Linked DNA regions of Notamacropus eugenii. The protein of the gene in region 2 purifies or fractionates together with the protein of the main gene of each other region. This does not show direct contact. Links are inferred from orthologs where the notes say so. Each region holds a gene or a part of one and is shown on either strand. Other genes may lie near its edges.

Region 1 (3,747 bases), about 43 Mb from region 2:
ATCAAAATCTGAAAATACATGAATTCAATTATTATATTACATATAATTAATTTACATTTAATGAAGTTTAGTCTGGTGCACTAAAGAAGGTCTTTCCTTAAGATTACAATCTTTCTGAGAAACCTACACTGCTCAGTGCTTTATTAAATTTTACACATAGAAAGGAAGCACCTTAAAACCACTGGCACCAAAAAAAAAAAAATCCAAAACACTGGACACATTTTAAGAATCTAATGGCTTATGTGGAAAACTCAACTTCTTTTTATTTGCTGCAAATCTGTTCATACTTTCATTTTCTCCATTTAGGGACAGATTTAATAAAAATAAGTAGCAAAAATCCTACTTTTGATACCTATTGCTCATCTGGAGTCATAATTCGTATGCTTAATATCATCATAGACACGGACTTGAAAAGGTAGAGCCAGCATACATTCAATCTAAAATAAATCTCCCACATTTATCAACCAAATTAACCTCAGAGTTTTTAATCTCAGAGGTTATGCCCATGGACTCTGAAAGTGATAGCAATTGCTTAATTACCAAATCCACATAATAACAAAGTCAACAGGTATAGCTTTTTCTTCTATCAGCCAACAAGCATTTAAGTGCCTATTTATTATGTGTTACACATTGCAACAAACTCTGAGAATGCAAATATAAAAATGCTACCAACCAACTCAAGGACCTTACACAGTCAATGTATAAGTACAGGATATATGCAAAATAAATACACAATGACCAACAGACATGAAAGAAGGCCTCCTGAAAGAAATGGCACCTGAGCTGAGCTTTGAATGCAGGTAGAGCATCCATGGAGCAGAGACTAGAAGGGAGAGCAGGAAGGGAGGACAGGAAGGATATATAATGGCCTGCACCAAGAACAGCAAACAGCCCATACTACTAGCTAGAGTGTAGAGTTCAGGAAAGGGAGTAATGTGTAATCAGTCTGAAAAGATAGGCTGGAGCCAGGACTTTAAATGCCAAACAGGGTAATCTGTACTTTATCCTAAAGGCAGTGATGAGGAGTCACTAAAACTTTTTGAGCAAAGAAGTGCAGTCAGACTTCACAACTGTGTGGAGGATCAATTTTAGAGCATAGAGACTGGAGGCCTAAAGACCAATTAGGAGCTACTGCAACAGTCCAGGCAAGAGGTTACAAGCCCTGGACCCAGGGTGGTTGTGGGATAAGAAGTGACAAGGGGATAGATTCGTGTAAGAATTGGCAACTGATTAAATATGGACAATTTCTTTGTAACAAGAGTCAAGGGTTAAGAATGACAGTAAGGTTAGGAATGACCACCATGGTGATAGGAAGAATCATGATGCCCTCAAGAGAAAGTGGTAGGTTTAGGGGGAAGAGCCAAAAAAAATTCTGTGACAAAAATTTTAATCACTTCAAATCAGAATATCAACTTTTATCACTGATCAAACTATACCTAAAACACCTATTTTAATAAAACTGGGTTTTCTCAGTAGTTATTCAGATAAACTTTAGCAACCTGGAATTTTTTCCCCAAGGGCAGGGTAACTGACTCATTTTGACATATCTTCAAAACAAAAATCAAAATTTGTTTACGATGTCATATCAGTATTTAGCACACCTGATAGGTAAATTATGAAACAATATACTTCTTTTTTAAGCTCAAGAAGAGCCATTTTTTGGTTTATTTTTTCAAGTTGGCAAACTTTAGCCAAAGTCATGGGGGGAAAACGCTTTCCTGATATCAGAGTTTTCTTTTCCCAGGAGTCCTGAGTTTACAAGTTCTTGATTTACACACACACGGCTTCTCTGAGCTCACAAAAATAAGCATTTTCTAAAGGCTAGGTTACCATTAACACTGTCAAAACGCAGAATATGTTGAATGAGCTTGATTATTCTGATTTCGGGCAATAAAAAAGTGTAAGATTGAAGAAAAGGTGGCGGGGGGCCGGTGGTCCGTCTACACAATTCCTCCATGAGCAACAAAGCCTTGCGATGTATACAAACACGGCTTCCAGGCTACCCTGGACTGGCAGCAGGGAGTCACCTGAATAACCCAGGGGTGCTTCAGCAAACATCCCCAGAAGCTTTCGTGCTCCCAGGGGGTGCACCCTATCCCCAGCGCAGGGGCACTGCATTCAAGCTCTGCGGGGCACGAGGCGGGCGGCACCGCAGCCTGGGGCTTCAAGGGACAGAACCTGGGAGGGCCAGTGCTGAGAGGAGTCTAGAGAGAGCCCAGCTCTGGAGCTCCGAGGACTTCCAACTCCGAGTAAGTCGAGTTCAAAACCTGACCTCCCCTCTACACGCGTACGCACACACGCACACTAGCATTCACGCATTCTCACACTCACAAACTCACTAAACACGCGCGCGCACACATTCTCTCTCACTCCCAGTCCCCCAACAAAAGAACAGAGGTGGCTGAGGGGCTGCGAGAGTTCTGAAAGCGGCGACTCTGGATCGGCCTTGGCCCGAGGCCTTCCGACCCCGGTGCCGACACCTCCTCGCGAGCCGGGCCGGGCCGCAACTCCTGGGACCACAGCGGGAGACCGCGGTCCCCTCGGCCCGGTCCGGCCCGCCTCGAGCCGGGCTGCCCCCGGGATCCCCGCCGGCCCATGGCCCTGCCCTCACCTGTCAGGCGCAGCTTGACGGGCCCGTTCCTCCGGCCCCCGGGGTTAGACATGGCCTCGGCCTCGGCGGCGGCGACTCGTCCAGGGCCTGGGCGCGGGGCGCGGGGCGCCGGGCCGGGCGTCTCCCAGTATCCGAGCGCGCGGCTGGTGAGCCGGGGGCGGACGGGCGGAGCGAAGGCGCGGCGGAGTCACCAGAGCGGCCGGGGCTGGGGCCGGGGCTGGGACTGAGGCCCGGGCCGGGGCTGGCGCTGGGGACGGAGCAGCCGGAGCCGCGGCCGCGGCGGCCCCAGGGTCCCGGATGTGCCGAGAGTCCTCGCCATGAGCCGAGGAGAGAGCGGGACGCCGAGATCGCTCCCACCGCGCCCGCCCTCTCCTCCGGCTTCTCGGGCTCCGGCCAGCCCCCCGCTGCCCTGCTCGGCTCGGCTCGGCGAAGAGGGGCCGGGCTGAGGCGACGCCGGGGCTGAGCTCGAGGTTCCTCGTCTTCCTTCCTCCACCCGCCCTCCCTCGGAAGGAACGCGTTCCAGCCGACGCTGCCACTCAGTCTGGGGGGGAGTGCTGAGCGTTTGGGGGGGGGGGGGTGACAAAGGGTGTAGAAGAGCTGGGGCGGGGTCTGTGACGTCACGGGGAGCGCGAGGGGACGGAAGAAGCCGAGAGGAAGGGAAGAGGCTCCAGCCGAGCGTCCGGTCCGCCGCCGCCGCCCCGGCAGACGGTCTTGACCTATCCCCTGGCCTTGGCCCTGCCACGCCTCCTCACGTGCTTTTCGGGACCCTTGGGAGGCAGAAGTGTCCCCGAAGCCCCGAAGAGGCGGCTGACCGACCTGGCGTCCTCACCCACCCCCACCCTGGGGAGACATTCTGTTCCATTCCTAAGGGGTGGGGTCAGGTTCCCCGACCCCCCGCCACCCGAGCTGGGGGTGACCGGACTCCTAACCCAGTAACAGCTTTGCTCCCTGGTAGAACCTCTTCTAGCATTTAAAGCGCTAGCCTCCCCAAGAGGAAAAGGAGGGAAGAACTCCTCCTTTTTCAGTCGAGGAAGCCTGGACAGAAGTTAAATGCCTCCCGCCTCCGCCCCCGCCCCTTCTGTGCATTCTTCCTGGAGCAGCTGGGCTACCTTCTCTTGAGATGGTCCTGTGGCTAC
Region 2 (3,747 bases):
ACGCACACACTGGCGTGCCCACACAAGCTCCCATGCGCACACACCTGCAGAAAGAATAGTGGGCTTCTGACTTTGAGGTAGAGGGACATGGGTTCAAATCCCACCTATAATGCTTACCACTTGTGTGATCTTGAACAAGTTATTAACATGCCTGGGCCTCAGTTTTCTCATCTTTAAAATGAGGGTGTTGGGCTGGATGACATGTTGGGTCCCTCTCTGTTTGAGATTTGTAAGTCTGTGATGTGGCCCCCTCTAAACTGACAGGGGGGGATTTTTGATAGCAAGCAAGGGTGTTCTTAGGGAAGCTGGGAAAGGGACTCCAGGCAGCTTTTGTTCTCTCTGGGCAGAGCAAAGCAAAAAAAGACCTCCAAAAATGGGTACTACATAGTTCTCGTCCACCAGAAGCTTAGGGTCATAGACTCAACACTGGAAGGGACATTAGGGATCACCTAATCCAACCAACCTCATCTTACAGGGGAGAAAATTGAGTCCCAGAGAATGGAAGTGCCTCATTCAAAGCTAGAGGGATAAGAAATAGGTGCCTAAAACAGAAACGGAACTCAGGTCCTCTGCCTCCCAATCTAGCCATCTCTCCACTACACCAATGGGTATAGTTTAGTTTATGATCTAATTGAGGAGATAAGACTCCAAATAAATAGCCATTGCAGAAGGCAATAGTTGGGAGGTAGGCAGGCAGTATATGAGCAGTCCAGCCAGCAAGAGGCATGGGGTTTCAGAAGAAGGACATAGTACCATGGGCCAGAAGGAGGTGACCTTTGAACTAAACCAGGAGAAATTAATAGAATTTTGATAAGTCTAGATTATGGTTATATGTGTTTTTAAGGGAAAAAGGATGAATGAGAAAGAGAGAAAAGATGAAAGGGGATAGTAGATGAACCAATTTGGCCAGAGTAGATGGATTAAATAGGGAAAAGTGAGAGATAAGGCAGGAAAAATAAGCCGGGAATTGATTGCAACAGGCCTTGAATGTCGAACTAACTTTATTCTATGAGCAAGAGGGAGCTGTTGAAAACTTTGGAGCAGAGATGGAGGTGTTTTAAGGAAAACTGCACATAGAGAAGATAGGAAGAAGGAGAGAGATTATAGAGATGGAACCAGCTAGAAGTGATCATCACAGTCCAGGCACAAGCTAATAGGGACCCGAATTTGAGTGGTAACAGGAGGAATGGAAAAGACAGGTATGGGATCAGGTGCCAGAGATACTTCGAAGGAAAAGCTGAAGGACTCAGCAAATGACTGAAAAGGGTGAGGAGGACAAGAGACTACATTCATTTTCATTCATTTAGACATTCTTTGTACCCTGGAATTGTTTCCCACATCTATGTATCTTATCTTACTTCTTTATAGACTATGCATTTTTCAAGCAGGGGTCTCTGTGCACAGTATGTTACTGACCCCTTAGTTGACATACAGTATGAAAAGGTGGGACCCTGATGGAGAGGTATATGATTTTTGCTTCATGTATTTTTAAAAAATAATAATAATTACATATTTAAGTTTAAAATAAAGTAATAATAAATAAATATGCTGTATATAAATAGAAAGCTATAAATATATAATATAATATACAAATTAATAAATATATCATATAAATATGTTATATATAATACATGAATTTATAATATATAACTGATAAACAATAAATTTGTTACTATATGCTATATAAATATTACATAAAATATTAAATATATAAATATAAAATATATTAATAAATGTTAAATAAATAATAATGATAAGCTTTCCTCACAATAGCCTTGTGAGGAACACAAGCACTAGCCCCATTTTACAGATGAGGAAACAGAGGCTGAGAAGGTTGGCTCCCCCATGGACACACAGCTAATAAGCTTCAGAGTCAAGATTTGAACCCAGGTCTCTTGAGTCTAGATGTCTACACACTACACTGACATGGGTGTGTTTTCTTCTTTTTGTAAAGCAGAGCTAGTGTGGCCTGCTAAGGTGCACAGGGTACCCCCTCACCTCGGGGGGGATGCTGCCATCCGAGTCAGAGCTATCATCATAGCTGCTCCCATCCAGATTCATCTGCAGCAATTGGTCGATGGTGGCATCAACGGCGCCATTGTTGGCACGCAGCACACACTCAATGATGTCATAGTCCATGTTAGGGAACATGGTCTTGAAGTCCTCCATGGCCTGGTTGAACTCCAGGCGCCGGACTTGCCGAGCAGGCCGGCTGTTATTGAGTTCCTGGGCCGAGGCGCTCCCCCCACCCCGGGACCCACCATTGCTGCCGCTCCTGCGGAACAGGCTTGTCATTTTGCAGAACTGTTCTGGGAAAATGTTTCAACCTGGAGCTGAAATCGATTCCCCCCAGCCCACCCACCCCTTCCCCCCACCTCCACTGCTGCCACCCCCCCCCCCCCCCCACTGCTCTGAAATTTCACTCCCTCACCACCTGGGGTGGGAGGTGGGAACAGGGCAGGGGGGGGTGGCGGGGCCTTCCAGTCAGGAGGCTAAGTGGTCATGCTGTGAAGTGGTCCTCAGGGAGTTGTTCTGGGTGTTTGGCGTCATCCAGCCTGACAATGAGGTGATGGGGACAGGCAGGATTGTCCAATGATGCCTTGACTGTCAGCCTGAATGTTGTGACATGTTGAACCCAAATCCAATGATGTTTTCCACCTGGAACAGAAAGGGGATACAAGTCAGTGGTGAAGAACAGGCAGCAATGTTGATGTTAATGATAACACAACATGGTCAGTCCACTGAAATTCATTTTTTCCTCCAAAGATGTCAGATTAGACCTGTCATTTTCCTATCTGAGAAGTAGATTTATTTCTAAGAAATATTGGGGGAGGAATTTGTTGACAAAAACTGATAGGAAAACCAGACAAGAATCGGGCAGAATTTAGATTTAGACCAGCACCTCGTACTATACACCAGCATGAGCTCCAAATGGATATATGACTTAGATATACACATAATACGCACATTAGAGGAGCAAGGAAGAAACTGCCTTTCAGACCTATGGATAGGGAAAGAGTTCATGAGTAAAACAATGACAAAATAATCAATTATAACTTGAAGATATAATTGCTAACTATAACTTGGGAGTTCCCAGCATGATGATAAAGAGAAAATCCCCATTCTCAAAAGAAATCTGAGTTTATTTGGGTAAATGGACAAACAACAGATAGAATTATTCAAGATAAAAAGAATCATTTTGATTCTGTAAAATTTCAAAATTTTGGTAGACATAAATCCAATGTACTAAAAATTAGAAGGGAATAAAGAACTTGGGGGAAAATCTGTTTAATAAGTTTCTCTGGTAAAGTTCCATATCCAAGATATATAAGGAACTGATACAAGATTAAGAGCCATTCCTCAATGTGAAAGGGTTTCTATGGAATACTAAAAATCATACATACATATATATATATTTACATCTTATTTTTAAGATTAAGCTGATGAAGTCAGACTAAACTGAATTTTCATCAAGTTATAGACTTAAAAGCTAGAAGAGGGCTTAGAAATAAATTAGTCCAATTCCCTTATTTTCCAACTGAGCAAACAGAGACCCAGAGAAATAAATGACTTGGCCAAGATCACAGGTCCAAATAGAAGTGGCAGAGCTAGGATTTGAATCCAATTCCTCTGTCTCTTAAGGTCAGTACTCTTTGCCCTACAACACACTGCCTCTGATGTGTTCCATCTCTCAAATGTATATTTTCTATGCTCTAGATTAGCTAGAATCATTTTGGTTGTCTTGGA

Evidence for each region. The genes of interacting proteins can lie anywhere in the genome.
Region 1: the proteins of CUEDC1 (region 2) and SMURF2 purify together in Homo sapiens (co-immunoprecipitation; 3 studies listed by BioGRID and IntAct, with this or other methods). This does not show direct contact. The link is inferred for Notamacropus eugenii from reciprocal best matches to the Homo sapiens genes CUEDC1 and SMURF2.

The regions. Positions count from the first base shown.
Region 1 is NC_092873.1:327,717,267-327,721,013, forward strand, and holds the start of SMURF2 (E3 ubiquitin-protein ligase SMURF2), read right to left. Parts: upstream 2,799-3,747; 5' UTR 2,664-2,798; coding exon 2,612-2,663; intron 1-2,611. UniProt on the Homo sapiens protein: E3 ubiquitin-protein ligase which accepts ubiquitin from an E2 ubiquitin-conjugating enzyme in the form of a thioester and then directly transfers the ubiquitin to targeted substrates.
Region 2 is NC_092873.1:370,219,317-370,223,063, forward strand, and holds the start of CUEDC1 (CUE domain-containing protein 1), read right to left. Parts: upstream 2,351-3,747; 5' UTR 2,296-2,350; coding exon 1,999-2,295; intron 1-1,998. Other genes in the region: uncharacterized protein, read right to left, coding at 2,547-2,658.